Oryzias latipes: one gene and its partner. The main gene of each other region encodes a partner of the protein of the gene in region 2 in a complex. Links are inferred from orthologs where the notes say so. Each region holds a gene or a part of one and is shown on either strand. Other genes may lie near its edges.

Evidence for each region.
Region 1: ciao1 (region 2) and fam96a share a complex: the UniProt entries of both Homo sapiens proteins name them as parts of the CIA complex. The link is inferred for Oryzias latipes from reciprocal best matches to the Homo sapiens genes CIAO1 and CIAO2A.

What each region holds. Positions count from the first base shown.
Region 1 is NC_019864.2:1,196,437-1,203,820, forward strand, and holds the end of fam96a (MIP18 family protein FAM96A), read left to right. Parts: intron 1-228; coding exon 229-393; intron 394-1,843; coding exon 1,844-1,893; intron 1,894-3,833; coding exon 3,834-3,879; intron 3,880-4,016; coding exon 4,017-4,117; 3' UTR 4,118-4,976; downstream 4,977-7,384. UniProt on the Homo sapiens protein: Component of the cytosolic iron-sulfur protein assembly (CIA) complex, a multiprotein complex that mediates the incorporation of iron-sulfur cluster into extramitochondrial Fe/S proteins.
Region 2 is NC_019867.2:18,359,021-18,367,509, forward strand, and holds ciao1 (probable cytosolic iron-sulfur protein assembly protein CIAO1), read left to right. Parts: upstream 1-3,712; 5' UTR 3,713-3,988; coding exon 3,989-4,127; intron 4,128-4,237; coding exon 4,238-4,386; intron 4,387-4,455; coding exon 4,456-4,567; intron 4,568-4,658; coding exon 4,659-4,747; intron 4,748-4,916; coding exon 4,917-5,112; intron 5,113-5,203; coding exon 5,204-5,273; intron 5,274-6,275; coding exon 6,276-6,510; 3' UTR 6,511-6,820; downstream 6,821-8,489. Other genes in the region: ES1 protein, mitochondrial-like, read right to left, coding at 97-210, 281-333, 410-526; tmem127 (transmembrane protein 127), read right to left, coding at 2,135-2,445, 2,525-2,689, 2,781-3,018; snrnp200 (U5 small nuclear ribonucleoprotein 200 kDa helicase), read right to left, coding at 8,078-8,221, 8,300-8,392, 8,470-8,489. UniProt on the Homo sapiens protein: Key component of the cytosolic iron-sulfur protein assembly (CIA) complex, a multiprotein complex that mediates the incorporation of iron-sulfur cluster into extramitochondrial Fe/S proteins.

The DNA of each region.
Region 1 (7,384 bases), on a different chromosome or scaffold from region 2:
TTTTCCGGGGGGGAATGCCCTAAAGTTAAGGCGTCCGTCGCTTTGGGTGCCGCCTGCGGCGGCGGGTCGCGCTGTGTGCGGTGTCGGGCCAGTAACTTTCTGGCAGGGCCAGTAAATTTCAAAAACCACTGGCCCAAATTTCTGAGCTATGTCAACCCCAGCCTTCTCCTTGAAAGCGACTTCAGTCCGATCTGATCCTCAAAGGCGCTTTTTCCTGCCGTTCAACAGATGTGATCCGATCGATCCGGGACCCAGAGAAACCCAACACGCTGGAGGAACTGGAGGTGGTGACGGAGAAATGTGTGGAGGTCCAGGATCTGGGAGAGGACGAGTACCTGATCATCATCAAGTTTTCCCCCACCGTCCCTCACTGCTCCCTTGCTACTCTCATTGGTGAGTAACTGATGGAGACACGAGGACAGGACCCAGAGCCACAAGAACAGAGGACCTGACCAGGAGCTGAACCGGAGTTATTAAATCTTTAGAAAGAAAAACATGACCTGTTGGTAATGAATATCCTATTTCCTGTTCTGTGAAAAAACTAACTCATCTGAAATGTTTAGCAATAGCAAAAAACTTTAACAGGTCTGCTTTTCTTGGTCAGGTGTTCTTTCCATTGCTGAGTAAAGTTTAACTTAATGTGTGTTCAGAGAATAAGTCATGTTTTTTGCAGTTTGGCCAGGGGTGCGACTTATACTGTGGAGTGACTTATTTTCTGATTAAAAAAAAAACTAATATATTTGTCATTTTCCCACTAAGAACAACTAGAGGGCTCAGTAAAGGGGTTTATTGGTAATTCCTACTGACAGCAACACAGAAGAAGCTCTGCTCAGTCCAGTCATCCATTCAGGCTTTCTTCAGTGGCTGTCGTGGTGCAAAGTTAGAGCGGTCGACCTCTGATTGGAAGATTGGATTGCTGGCACAACACTGAACTCCCCATTGCTCCTGGTGGTTATAGGTAGTGCCATCAGTATATGAATGGGACTGTGACTGTAAATCACTATGGACCTTCTAAGAAGGTACTAAAGCGCTATACAAGTATACACCATTTACCTTTTTTTCTTGACTATTAAACATACTACATAGCATATAATACATAGGTGTAAGGCCCTGAATCCCGGAAAAGACATTTAGATTAGGTTTGGTCGTTGTAGCTACAAAGTCATTCTGCTTCTAAATGGACGTGGGTCAGGGTGTTGGGTCTGCCGCCGTGAACAGGCTGGTTCTGGTCAGTGATTGTGATCACTGGAGCCAAGCAGCTGCAGTTGTAAACAGCCTGTACCACAAACAGATAAGGACTATGCTCAGGAATGCAGACTCACAGCAGGGGTGATTCATTAGAAATCATTGTATATAATCAGAGCGGTCCTAATGAGCACAAAAATACATTGTTGGATTGAACTAATAACACTTTCAAAAAGTTCCAGCTGCTATACTGAACATACATGTTTGTCACACATTTTTATTGTAAGGAAAACCATATTCTTAACTAATTATAAGATCATTATAAAAATGATATTATTTAGCATGTCAAATCATCGTGTGAGGCTGAAAGCTCTGTTGGAAAAGACACTTTCGAGGCTTCAGTTAGTTTCTATAACATACATTTAATATTGGGTTTTTGTTGATCTGTTGTTATGGTTAATCCCTAAATCTGAGCTTCCCTGATGATGACATTCTCGTGTCTGTGTGACAAATTCAGACTTGTCCTAGTTAGAACAGGTCAATTTTTTTTCTTATGTTTCCAGCTTAAACTCTGCCTATACAGCTTCGGCTAAGTTGGGCCTCTTTCTTGGAATAAGCTCCAGTGTCGGTTGTCTTCTGAACCTTGCTATGTTTGCAGGTTTGTGCCTACAAGTGAAGCTGCAGCGCTGTTTGCCTTTCAAACACAAGGTGAGCCTTCCTGTTGTCCAGCTGCACGCTGCCCCACACATGCATCTTCCTTCCTGCATTCACTGCGCATGCTTACAGAAAAACAGATGCAAACTTAACCACTTCAAGTGGAGCTCATCACTTTGTAATGGATGTGCTGTTTAGATGAACACAGTTCTTCATTGTTTGGCTCAATCTGTGAAAGGCTGAGTCTTAAACCACTTTCCACCCAAAGTCATGATCTGTATTTAGTTTTCGTGTGTGAATGGAAGAGAGTCCACTTTTGCACAGGTTATTTGGTGGCAAAAAGCATCAGTCTTGACAGCACGCTTAGCCAGCACAGGCTGTTCATTCCGTTGTACTATCCAGAAATATGCCAGGGTTTTAGAAGTAAACTCTGCCTACAGAGACCTGTCTGTGGGATTCTCTGTTAGGTTCTCCTGGTCAGATCCTGAAACCAAAGTAGGCACAGCAGTAAATGGGTTACGTATCCAGTCATGTGAGCCGTCAAGTCTCCTGGAGGTGACTACGTTACTGCGCCGCCAGCCCCAGATGTGTGTTAGTTAGTCTGAGGCGACATGCTCTCTCTAGGTTCAAGGCTCTGCATTCAACTCTTCACTCATCCCTTTCCACAGGATCATCACTGGCCGTGCTAGTTGCTGCCTATAGACTCATCAGTGCTAGCAAACCGATTTGATAAATACGTTTTTTAACCTATGAGGTCATGGTAAGAATGTCTTCAGCTGAGAGCTGACTGGTTGTCGAAGCTGGAGTTGGATGTTTTTTTTTTAATATCCAATTGTCCAATTCAGCATTGCTCTGAGAAAACTTAGTCACGTGCCAATCAAACATTTTAAACCGAATTACAATTTCTGATTGTTTCTCTTTCTCCTCTGATATACCCCCATGGCTTTTTGTGTACCCCAAGATTGCACTTACTGTAGTTTAAGAACTGCTGCTCCAGAGGTCACCACGTTAGCTTCAACACCTGAACATAAGTATATTTGGAAAATAGGAACTCCTGGTTCTGGTTCTAAAAGCAGTGAGTAGGCAGATAAGGGAAGTTAGTGTCTCATAGGGCTGCACGATATGAGGAAAACTTGCGATATGGGATATTAGTGATCAATATTGCGATAACGATAAATTTGCGGTAAATAAACAAATAGAAAAATAAACAAAAACATCATTCCCATTTCATTGCAACAGTTTAAAAATTATACTCCAAATGACCCTCATCGACATGGGGGACAAACGTCAGGGTGGCTAACCCTGGTCCTCAAGAGCCTCAACCCTGTTTTCCAATTCTCCCTAGACCAGAGGTGGGCACTGAGGGCCGCATTCCTGCATGTTTTCCAGCATACCCTGCTCTGGCATGTTCTAATTGGCTGGACACACCTGAACCAGGTAATAAGCCATGAGTAGGGAAAGGCTATCTTGAAATCATGCAGACACACCGGTCCTCGAGGCCTGGAATTGCCCACCCCTGCCCTAGACTGCTCGATAATGATAACCAAAATCAGGTGTGTTCAGTCAATCAGGATGTGAAATCACTTGAGTCAGCCAATCAACAGCAAGCTGGTTAAGGAGAGCTGGAAAACAGGCAGGGTTGAGGCTCTTCAGGACCAGGGTTAACATAATAGGCCTCCATCTGATTGGTCAACAATGGGAAGGCGTCCATCTGATTGGTCAAAGCATAAAGGGATTTATTTGATTCGTTAAATGCTTCAAGCTGCTAGAAGATTGTTTTAACACATTTTGGGTTTGCGATTTGTTGCGATATTCGCCATCTTTTGCGATATGCATATTGCAGAGCTGGATATTGCGATAACGATAAATTTGCGGTATATTGTGCAGGCCTAGTGTCTCATCTCTCTATCATCAGTACCAGTTTGTCTCTAGACCTTCACCTCTTTTCCTTCAGCGTAAACTGAAATTTTCTGTTGTCTGTCTTTTGTTTCAAGCTGGAAATTTACCTTTCAGAAGGAACCCATTCTACAGAGGAAGACAGTAAGTTTCTCTGCTGTCATGAAACTTCCCTCCATCAGGACACATGCATGTCTGTCTCATGTTCCCTGTTTTGATTTGTCACGAGCTTGGATGCTTTCATGCAACTTTTTGTCATTTCTATATTTTTCTGTGACCAGTAAACAAACAAATCAATGATAAGGAGCGAGTGGCCGCCGCTATGGAGAACCCCAACCTTCGAGAGATCGTGGAGCAGTGCGTGACGGAACCAGACGACTGAGCCTCAGTGTGTGTTTGTGCGTGATTGAATTGTCCATTTGAGCAAAGGACAGGATCAGGTTGGACCTTTTTGACCCAGAAGGAAAACAACTGTCCCTTTTTCCTTTTTTTTTTCTCATGCCGCAAGAGGGAAAATGATGAAAATGTTTTTGCGGAGAGAAACTTAAACTGATGCTTGAGAAGTTCTGATTTTCTTAAAAATGATTTGTACTTTTAGATGTTTTAAATGAATTAAAGCTGTTGCGTGTCAGTCTTTGTCTGAGGGGGTGGGGGGGCTAAAGGACATTTAAAAACAAAAGTAACTAAAGGCACATTCTATTCCCAGGGTCTTTTCCCAAAAAGCTAACTCAATAGAAATCCTGACCAAATTCAAGATGAGCTGTTTCACAAACTGGAAAAAGTCTGAGTTTGGTTTTGACTCCTCCCACTTGAGAGTCACACTTTCATCCCCACATAAAAACTGACGTGAGGCTGAGAGTGAATCATTTTTAGAGTTTCTAACAAACACTTTGCTATTCTTTTGTAAAAATAAGCCGTTGGTTTAGGAACAGAAAATGAATGCAGTTCTATGTTAGAAAAAAGTGATCTGCACTTATTGTTACTCTTCAATCTTATTGTCATATGCTCCGCACACTACAGATGCTGTTGGACACACTGAATGTTAATTACAAATCTGGGAGCCAAAATCTTTAAATGTGCAAACTTGACCACATCATTAGTTCATTATGGTATGCACATATTGATTTTTCTGTTCATCTTTGTGTCTTTTTTAGGGGAAGTTTTCCTCTAAGGGAAAAATGTCACATTTTGTTTATTGTACACACAAAATATTTGGAATAAAGTTTATGGCAATAGATTAATTGATTACAAATCCACCTCTGATTATTAGTTTCATTGTCTGTAGTAATATGGTATATACAGTGCTCAGCACTGTATATACCATATTACAATACAGTGTATTTTAGAATGAATGCTTGGATAGAAGTTCAAAATTCAACAAATGATCAAACAACTACCGCCCTGCCCCCCCATGTTTAACTGTGGATCCATACTGAAAATAGGGTTTAAAACTCTGGCAAGGTCCTATCTCATCACACATCGTGCAGTAGCTTTTGAGACTGTCAGACAGTCTCTACTGATGCCTGCATCTTCACTGTCTGTGACATGACAAGAATCAAAACCATTCCAAGGTTTTTGGGTTGGCCACAGGGACAAACATAGTTTTACAAAAACAGGCTTTAAATTGTAAGATGGCTACGTTTTAGTTTCTTTTTCTACGAGCTTTCTTAGCTCAGGTGACTTAATTATCTGCCTGCCATGAACAAAACGTAGATATTTGCTATTGTTTTGGTGGAAAATCCCACAAAATAAGATTTTGTGGACTAATCTTTATTTTGATACCATTTCTAGCAAAATATATAAACCCTTTTATACCGACGGCAATCATCAACTCTTCCTCCATTTGATTTTGGACTCCAGCCGCTAATAAGATCAACACGAAAATACCAAAGCGTAGTTCCTGATCTAGTGACCCAATGCAAAACTTCAGATATTTGAACTCTGGAAACAATGTGCTGTGCAGCCAAGTTTCTGTCACAGAGTGCAAATAGCTGAACTTTGGTGAAGCTTTGCATTGGGTCACCTGATGGAAGAGGAGATGATTGCAGTTTGTGGTTCTCCTGAACTTAATGATATTGTAATTGTATGGAGACCATACTGAAAAGGGTCTTGTTTTGTCTGCAGCTCCTCCCTCGCCCATGCTATGATTCTCTGATGCTATGTCAATGAGCTGTTTTGTGTGCGTCACAAGTATGTGACCACAAACTGGTTTAATGTCTGAAAATATTTTCACAGACCAGACTTTAAGATGTGGCAGATTAATACAACAAACTTAATTAATTGGACAGTCATTAAAAAAAAGATCATTTTAAATATAATAAAAGTCATGAATCAACTGTGAATGCAACTTTATCAGCAGCATCTCACAACAGAGCCAGTTTGTTTGTTTGGCTGAAAAAAGCTCTCCAGCTATTTAAAGACTGGTCAATGTTGAAAATAGAATTGAAAAAATATATAGAAGGAAGTTATGCGGTCGCTCTATCGGTCCGTCGTGGTGAAGAGAGAGCTGAGCCTAAAAGCAAAGTTCTCTATTTACCGGTCGATCTTTGTTCCAGTACTCACCAATGGTCATGAGCTCTGGGTCTTGACTGAAAGAACGAGGTCCTGAATACAAGCGGCTGAAATGAGCTTCCTCTGTAGGGGGGCGGGGCGCTCCCTTAGAGATAGGATGGGAAGTTCAGTCACCCGCGGAGAGCTCGGAGTAGAACCGCTTCTTCTCCACATCGAGAGGAGCCAGTTGAGGTGGCTCGGGCATCTAGTTCGGACGCCTCCCTGGAGAGGTGTTCCGGGCATGTCCCACTGGGCGGAGGCCCCAGGGAAGACCCAGGACACACTGGAGAGACTACGTCTCTCGGCTGGCCTGGGAACGCCTTGGGGTCCCCCCAGAGGAGCTGGAGGAAGTGGCTGGGGTGAGGGAAGTCTGGGCATCTCTGCTCATTCTGCTGCCCCCGTGACCCGGTCACAGATAAGCGGAGGAAGATGGATGGATGGAAAACTTAAGAACAGAGAAAAAAGTCAAGTAAAAAAACATACATTTATAGCCAAATTCATGTACTGCACATAAACATTAGTGCACTTCCACACTTCCTGAGATCCCAAGCAGCTTCCTTTCCTTGCTCCTCCGGCCCTGTCATGACACATGATGAAATGAGCTTCCACTTGATAGAGTTTTTCTATGAGCAGGTGGCATGTTTTTAATTAATAAATGTGTTATAAGTAATGTCACATTAAGGGATGTTTTCGGCACAATTGGACAAATTCAGAAAAGTTAAGACATGTACGGGCACAACCCGACATGTTTGTGTTAAGAAATGTTCATCCATGATCCTACATGTTAGTACATGTTCGGGAAAGTTCAGACATGTCTGATTTTCCACGTTTGGACGTGTTAAGACATATTCAAGCATTATCCGTCTTGTTGGGAAATGTTGTGCTTCCAGTGCTTTTGAGCACCTTACACCTTTTCTAGTTCCTAAAAATATTATACATGGGACGTTAATGACAACAGGATCTCTGGCCTGTCATGACACATTTTACATGACGTTATGTGAAACCAAAAATATCATCTTGAAGTCATAAATACTTATAATATCGTAGCCAAACACGCATGCGCAGACATGCCTCCCCCCCGCCCGAAGACAGCGTAAAG
Region 2 (8,489 bases):
ATGACCAAAAGTAGTTCCAGTCAAGTTGAATATCAAAACTATGACATTAGGGAAGAACAGAGCTCTTCTTAAGCGTGTCAAATGAGTGGCTCCAACCTGTTCTCCCCAGAAGCTGGTTGCTTTTTCATGTGGTCCATCACGTTCATCTGCTGTTGATTTGGGGCAAAAATCTGGAAGCGAGCGCCATTTCTGCTCAGGTGGTACATGGTGCTAAACACAAGTGTTTCCAGTTATGGTCATTCACTGGTGTACAAAACTTTCCTGATCTTCTCATACTCACTACACGCCCTCATGGACGTCAGTTCCATCCCACCATCCGCATCCAGAGAAAACCTAGAGTATAAGGAGAAATTCCAGCAATGTGTGCCATGATCTCATTACTGATCTCACAAAGTTCTGCTTAACCTACCACAGCGACATTGGTGTTTCCCCAGTTGCCATAGTCACCCTGGTGAACAAAGCAGGCAGGCTGGCGGAAAAAAACAGCCAGTGTTTGTTTAGAAAGCAAAGCCCTGGTTCCCAACATGGTTCTGCTTTGGTCTCACGGCTTTGAGAGGAGAAATGAAACGTTGGAGTTTCTCACAGAGCTTTCCACGACCTCTGATAGTCCTGATATTGATCCGAGTGAAGCGGCCTGTATATATACCTCCATAGTGCAGCCAAAGTGACGTGGCCACGTAAGACCATTGTCTTATCACACCTGCACTTGTTTCCCCACTGAACTCCCTTACCTACGCCATTACCGCCTTCACCGCTCCCCTAATCAACTTATTTAACCACAGAGGGACGCCTCCTGACAAATCCAATCAATATCTTTGTTTGCCTTTGATCTTCATGGGATTTGCTGGTGGAGAAATTGTGTTCAATGTTTAAAGCAGCTGAGTGACATTCCATATGCCCTTTAAAGTCCATTAGATTGTAAGGCTCTTACTCTCTAGTAATGCCATGTAGCGTCTAGACGGTGAACCCAGAAATATCCTTGGCAGATGGAAAAGACAGATCAAATTTAAAGGCTTCAGTTAGTTAGTGGAAGGCTGACATTTGGTTAAACTCCTGGACGCCTCAGTGGGATGTAAACCAGCAGGACGCAAAATATGACTTTGACTTTATTAGAATCAGTTGATGTAAGCAATCAATATGTACATACTGCTGACAGTATAGCAAAGATTAATAGTGGAAAAATGTTGTAAAACCAACTCGAAACACATTAGCCACAATTCCAAGTCTGAACTAAGTGAGAAGATTTGGGCTGAAACGTAAAAATTGCACACTAAAGAACTCATGCATGGGTACAACATGATGGATCCAACACACAGTCACAAAATACAAATAAGAACAATTCAAAGACAAAAAATAAAAAACAAAATAACCTTACATACTCATCCTGCAAACACTTTTCTTGGGCATCTCCCTTTCTTTACGCCCCCACCTTACAACAAAAACACCCACCCGGGCTGTTTTTTTTTCCTTAAACGCCCAAAATCTCACCCCCCCACCAAAAAGCACAGAATAAAAGACACAGAATATAACCATAGACAAATGTCTACAAAGCAAAAGAACAATCAAAGACAAAAAGAAAAGTATGTGCAATAAATAGGGTCAATTTTCATAAAAATAAAAATTTAAAACAATCTCGTCAGTGTACAGATGAATTTGCATCTATGGTGCATCTAAAAATAAATCATACATATGACAAGCACATCAAATGAAATCTAAATGCTGCTTAGCAAAGCTCCATCTTTCTCCAATTACATCAACAATCTGCTAAGAGCCAGTGTGGCTTTGGCTGCATCATCAAAATCTTAGGGAGTACTGGTTTGCACTCATTGCTTTTTTTTTTAATTTTACATGTAAAGACTAAATTCTGCAAGTCATTTAAATGCAGATATTTAACCAACCCCATGTTGAAATGAAGAATTCCCTTCTAAATGTCTATCACCACCAAATAAAAGCGTTCATGCACCTCAGCACTTTCATTGAATGAATCTGTGCACTAAAGGTACACAAACTGTTTTCGTTGCCAAGAATATTTGCAGAGATATTCATTTGATAAAGAATGTGGTTTGCGGGTCAAGCAAACAGCTGTGCAGAGAGGAAAGACAACCCAAGGCCATGTCGCCGCTTTTTGCTGGCATTATGGTGTGTAGGCAGGAGGTGGCTGAAACTGGTTGGCAATGTCATAGTCAGCAGGGAAAGTCTCGCTGCTGTCCTCCATTTCTGAGAGCAGCTCCAAGGCCTGCTCTTCCTCCTCGGTGGGATAATGGCGCAGGAGGTTTGCAGCAGTGGCTAGAATGGAGGCTCCACCAGCACCTGCCACCAGGTAGAAGCTGATGGCAAAGGTGACGTAAATGAGAGAGCCATGGTACTTTTTGTGTTGCTGCTGCAGTGACAAGATCAGTTCCGATGCCCAGTAGCAAAAGCCTATGACTGTGGCACACTGCAACACTGGAAAGACAAAGAAACCAGTTACATTGTAGCAATGTGTTTGATCTTTATTAGAAATGAAAACAAGCACTGTAGATACCTGTTAGTATATGTGCAAAAGCATATCTGCGAGTTATCTTTAGGGCAGGGTGTTTGGGTCCAAACACATCCAGGAGGAACGCAGTTAGACTGCACAGGATGCCAAGGAAACAGAAGGCAGCTATTACCCTTAGCAGCAGGATGGTCTGCGGATTCACACAGTAATCTGAAAAGACAGACGTGCCACAAATTCATATAAATTAAGGCACTCCATGATCCTCAGCTTAGAGTGGCAACGACTTTGTGCTGGTTCTTACCACCCAAAAGATTGGGATCAACGTATCCCAAGACATCTGCCACCCCGAGTTCTTGTCTCGGGCAGGTGCCTCCGTGAATCCGGAGCCAAGCAGGTTCAGCCAGAGCCGTGCACAGCGCTGTGATGGACAAAGCTCCGGGCAGGGCCGACACTAGACTCCGCTCCGGCTGTTTGGGAAGTGAGGTACCGGCTCTCCTCCTCCGACCTCCGGAGACAGCGGGACCCGGTGGGGCATACATAGCTGACCGAATGGCGAATTTTCTGTTGAAGTGGTAGGTTCCTCTTAGCACTGTCTTCCTCTTGACAGTAGTACCGGGTTATTGTGGTATTAGAGTAAAACTACGGCAATTGTCTTCCAGGATATGTCAAAGATTTCGGTGGCGATAAAAGTGCTCAACAATATAAAAACAACAATAACCGCTTCCCTAAAGTAGTCAAAAAATATTAAGGAAAAGCCAACACAAAGAACAGATCCTAAGCGGGCCTTTAGCTCTGTTGTTAGCCTCTGAAGCTAACTAAAAAAAATAAACACTTTACGTCACCAGTTCTCGGAGGAAAGACACTTTTTAGCGAACGAATGGGAAAAAATATAACCTGTAAACATCAAATCCCGCTGATAAAACCGTCCGTCTCTATGATACAAAAAGGAACACAAAACAAAACAAAAGATAGCTTACGCTGTTTTCCTCAAAATCCCTAACTTCCTGTATATGCCATTCTTCTTCGTGACGTTTAGAATGTTTGCTGTACACTACCGCCCCCAGCGGAAACTAAAATAGAAATGTACACAATGTTTAGCATGAAATTTTCTTTGCAAACAGTAATGTAAATATAGATTCATATTATAAAAATACATATATAGGTAGATCACTTTCTTTAAAAATATATAAATGAAATATTACCATCAAAACGTTTTATTTTAGATCAACCCATAATGCACCGGGTCCAGATCCCGATAAGCAAACATGGCGGCATTTCCTAATTTGACGCTTCTTTGAACTTATCTGTGTGAACAATTTTCCTTGGTTAATTTCCCCCTCCTTTTGTTTTAATGTTCATAAAGGTGTATTAATTTACTCGCAGTCCTCTTGTCTGTCGTTTTCCTCATTTGTGACTCTTTTTAGCCTAAATCTTTGGTTAACGGAAATCGAGAAAAGTGTCGAGTCGACGCCTGACAGACAGAGGAGTCACGTTTGCTGGAGCTCTGCCATGAAGGAGGCTATTTCTCTGGTGCAGAAACTCAGCGCACACCCAGATTCTCGGTGCTGGTTCGTCAGTTGGAGCCCGAGCGGTGCGCTGCTGGCTTCGTGTGGTGGCGATAAGGCCATCCGGATATGGGGACAGGAAGGTCAGACTCAGACAGACAAAGAGCCTTCTATTCGAATTTTGCTACGCCGATTTAAAATCAGTGGTTGGATGACCTTACCTTTTTTACAGTTCATGTTTTCCCTTTTCAAGGTGACTCTTGGGTTTGTAAAAACGTTCTGCAGGACGGACACCAGCGCACTGTGAGGAAAGTAGCCTGGTCTCCCTGTGGGAACTATCTGGCCTCCGCCAGCTTCGATGCGACGACATGCATCTGGAAAAAGAAGAACGACGACTTTGAGGTAAGGTTCGTTTAACCTCTGATCTAACACGTGTTCTGGCTCCACCTGGACTCTTTTCTTGTCTTCTAGAGCTTAACTGTGTTGGAAGGTCATGAAAACGAGGTCAAATGCGTGGCGTGGGCCCCTTCAGGGACTTTGCTGGCCACTTGTAGCCGAGACAAGAGTGTCTGGGTTTGGGAAGGTTTGTGTCCTCACCAGCTCTTGCAGGACAATCCTTTGTCACAGAAAACATATAGAGCTGGGTTGTAAACCTTTGTTTTCCTTCTTCACAGTGGACGAAGAAGATGAGTACGAGTGTGTTACAGTGGTGAACTCGCACACACAAGATGTAAAGCATGTTGTGTGGCATCCCACGCAAGAGGTAGGTCTGCACTCAGTCCTTCACCATCATGTAGTTGTTTTATTATTGTTGCTATTAATTGTTAAAGTGCATCTTTAGCCATATTTATGATCTACGTGCTGTTTTTAATAGAGCCATGGTAACGACGTTTGTGGGATCAATAAAGTTGTATTTTATTCTATTTCCGCAGCTCTTGGCTTCTGCCAGCTACGACAACAACATCTGTATTTACAAGGAGGAGGATGATGACTGGGAGTGCAGGGCCACTCTGCAGGGACACACGTCCACCGTCTGGAGTTTGTGTTTCGACGTGACGGGACAGAGGCTGGCGTCTTGCAGCGATGACCGCACTGTGAAGATTTGGAAGGAGTATCCAAGTGAGAGTGGTGAGAAGATAGAGGGGTAGTTTATGACATAAATAAAAAAAAATAGGATATTTTTTAATCACAGAATGTTTTGTTTGGTCTGCTTTATTAGGTGATTTGTCATGGAAGTGCGTTTGCACTCTGTCGGGTTATCATGGACGAACAGTGTACGACATTGCCTGGTAAGACTAAATACTTACACTACAGCAGGGGTGTCAAACACACGGCCCGCGGGCCTTATCCGGCCCGCCAGGTGGTTTACTCCGGCCCACACATGAAGAGTAAAAATCAAAAGGATGATTAAAAAAGAAAGCAAGTTTCTAGTCCATTCCTGTGGCGAATTATGATTTTTTAAAGAAATAACAGAAATGTGCAATTCCGCCACTAGGGGGAGTAAAGGAAAAGAAAAACAGTTGAAACAGCAAATATCTGCATGTGCCAAAAGCGAAACATAACAGCTCTGCGTCTGGGTAGGATGCACCTTGGTTCCCTATGAGCCTTACCGCTGTTATCTTGCTATAAGGATGATCATTAGCGACACCCTAATGACCAAAATGCTGTCAAACGTGAAGTGGAGGGAAGAGCCTTCCAGGAAAATTGGACAGAGTTTTTTCTTTTTTTCACGAAGCTGAATGTAAAACCCAAATGCTTTGTATGTCATCAACATCGCAGTGCTCAAAGAATATGACATTCAGCACCACTAAGAGACTTATCATAAAGAAAAGTTTCTGGATTGCTTCAGTGTCAGATGTAAAATATTCAGACTGCATTAATTTGAATAGACCAACTTTTCTTTAATTGAAATTAATTTTATTTGAGCTCCATTGGCCCCAAGTGATTAGGCTACTATGTTGATTGAGACATTTTTTCCAACTGAATAAAAAACTAAAACAAAGCTGTTATTTTGCTTTTATGTTACTGGTCCGGCCCACTTGAGATCAGACGGGTTAAATGTGGCCCCCGAACCAAAATGAGTTGGACACCCCTGCACTACAGTCTGGTGTCTGATTTTTTTTTTTTTACTTTAAAAATAGATTCTATTTACAGAGTTTTTAAAAAGTTGCCAAAACAGATTTTCTTCTTTGCTTTTTTGGCTGTACCACCACTAAAACAGCGCTTGTCATCAGTCGGCTGAATCTTTGTCCCCTTTACTATTATGGCTCAAACAACTGTCTGTTGCGTAGGTGTCGACTGACCGGTGCCCTAGCAACTGCCTGTGGCGACGACGCCATACGAGTGTTTAGGGAGGATCTCGCGGCCCATGCAGATGAGCCGGTGTTCTCGCTGGCTGCTCAGGTGAAGAAGGCTCACTGTCAGGATGTGAACTGCGTCGCCTGGAACCCAAAGGAGGCCGGCCTCCTGGCCTCCTGCAGTGATGATGGAGACATTGCAATTTGGAGGTTTCAAGAAGAAGACTGAACCTGCTGTGGAGACACCAGCAATTGGATGAAACCCTGTGCTGAACTTAAATGTTCTTTTCTTTTGCTATATAAAGTCATGCTTATACAGTTATCTTTATAAATCTGAATGATTGTAAAATGTAAAGTTTAAGTTCTATTTTTATTCACAAAAGTGATGATGGGTGTGCTGGTTAACTGTTTTTAGTCCTACAACTTAAAAGGAGCAAGAAACTAGTTCTGTTCTGTTTACATCTAAATACATCTTTATAGCAAAAAGCAGGTTTTCTGTAAAAAAATGATTTAAATAAAGCCTCAAACCCTTGGAGTGATCGGAGACTGTGCATAACTACTGTACACCCAAAAAATGGAAAATATATATATATATATATCCCCACACCTGAAATGTCTGAATAAGCTTGCAAAAATGTATTTTGGAAACGGAAATAAGTAACTGCACTGAATGAACTTGTTTTCAAGTTTGGTAGTTGGGTTTACCTTTGTGCTATCTTAGACGACCCCACCCTTACTTTGACGTGTTCTCCCTACCATGATAAAGGTGGAAAGATTTCATGTAATCCATGGACACCAGTGAAGATCACAAATCATTGAAGAAAAAAAGGTTCAGAGCACTGTCTAGTGGGTCTAGATGACCCAACTCCCAATGGTAAAGTGCCTAGGATAGCACAACACCACTATCAGTAGTCAAAGCTCACCAACTGGCTTGCACTGTTAATTTAACCCTTGTGCTATCCTAACATTGGGAGTGGGGTCATCTAGACCCACTAGAAAGTGCTCTGAACCTTTTTTCTCCAATGATTTGTAATCTTCTCTGGTATCCATAAATTACATGAAATCTTTCCACCTTTATCATGGTAGGGAGAACACGTCAATGTAAGGGGGGGGGGAGTCGTCTACGATAGCACAAGGGTTAAACCCAACTACCAAACTTGAAAACAAGTTCATTCAGTGCAGTTATTTCCATTACCAAAAGACATTTTTGCAAGCTTATTCAGACATTTCAGGTGTGGGGATATATATAGGGATAAAGGGAGGGGATCAAGAACAATCTTGTCAATATCCATTAAGTGCTGTAGTGACATGAGCTTGTAGCATAAAAGGGGCCAGACTAAGAACTAATTGTTTCATAATAAAACTATAAAACAATTTTCAGATGTTTTTATTGCAAAAAACAAACAGACAGCATGAATGATTAAACGGTTTAACCAATCCAAAAAATCTTATGACGTTTAACCAAAGTAAAATGGAAAGTCTAATCTATTTAAACATGCAATGTGGATGAGACTCAGCTGTTCAACGGCAGTTTAAGATGTCTTAGACTTATCTTTGAATAATTTTGTGAAAAGTACATCAATGGTCAACGTAAAGAACACAAAACTTCTGAAAAGCTGTTTAACATACAGGATAAAACGATTGTACTGACTACGAAAACATGTTATAACACCCACAGAGAACTGACAGGGTCACTCTCAGAGATTGATCGGGGTAAATATCTACATATAAAACCTGATCCCATTATTTATTGAAAAAAAAAAAAGGATTAAAAATGTAGAATTTGAATTTCCAGCTTAATCTGAATCGCTGTCGCTGTCTGCCTCCTTCACGTCCACACTGAACTTGTACTCCTGATCACAGCCCATGTAAGCGTCGCTCATGAAGTACAGCGTGTAGTTGTGAATGCCCATCGCTGGTGCCACAAAGTCCAGCTTGACCTACACAGAAGAACCAAAAATGAAAACTGTGGTAGTTTGCGTATTTTTGGTTAGGGAGTGTTCAAAGCAGCGGCTCACCTTCGCTTTTTGTTGCAGAGTCAGCCTCTTGATTGAGATCAGGCTGTTCGACTTCGGGTCTCCGATCACAACCCACCAGCCCTCCTCACGTTTCTGCAACGATGAGACGATCAAACGATGAAGCAAATGTAGGAAACACCTATAGGGAAGTGGACAGCCACTCAACTGACCTGAGGGAAAAGGGGAGCGA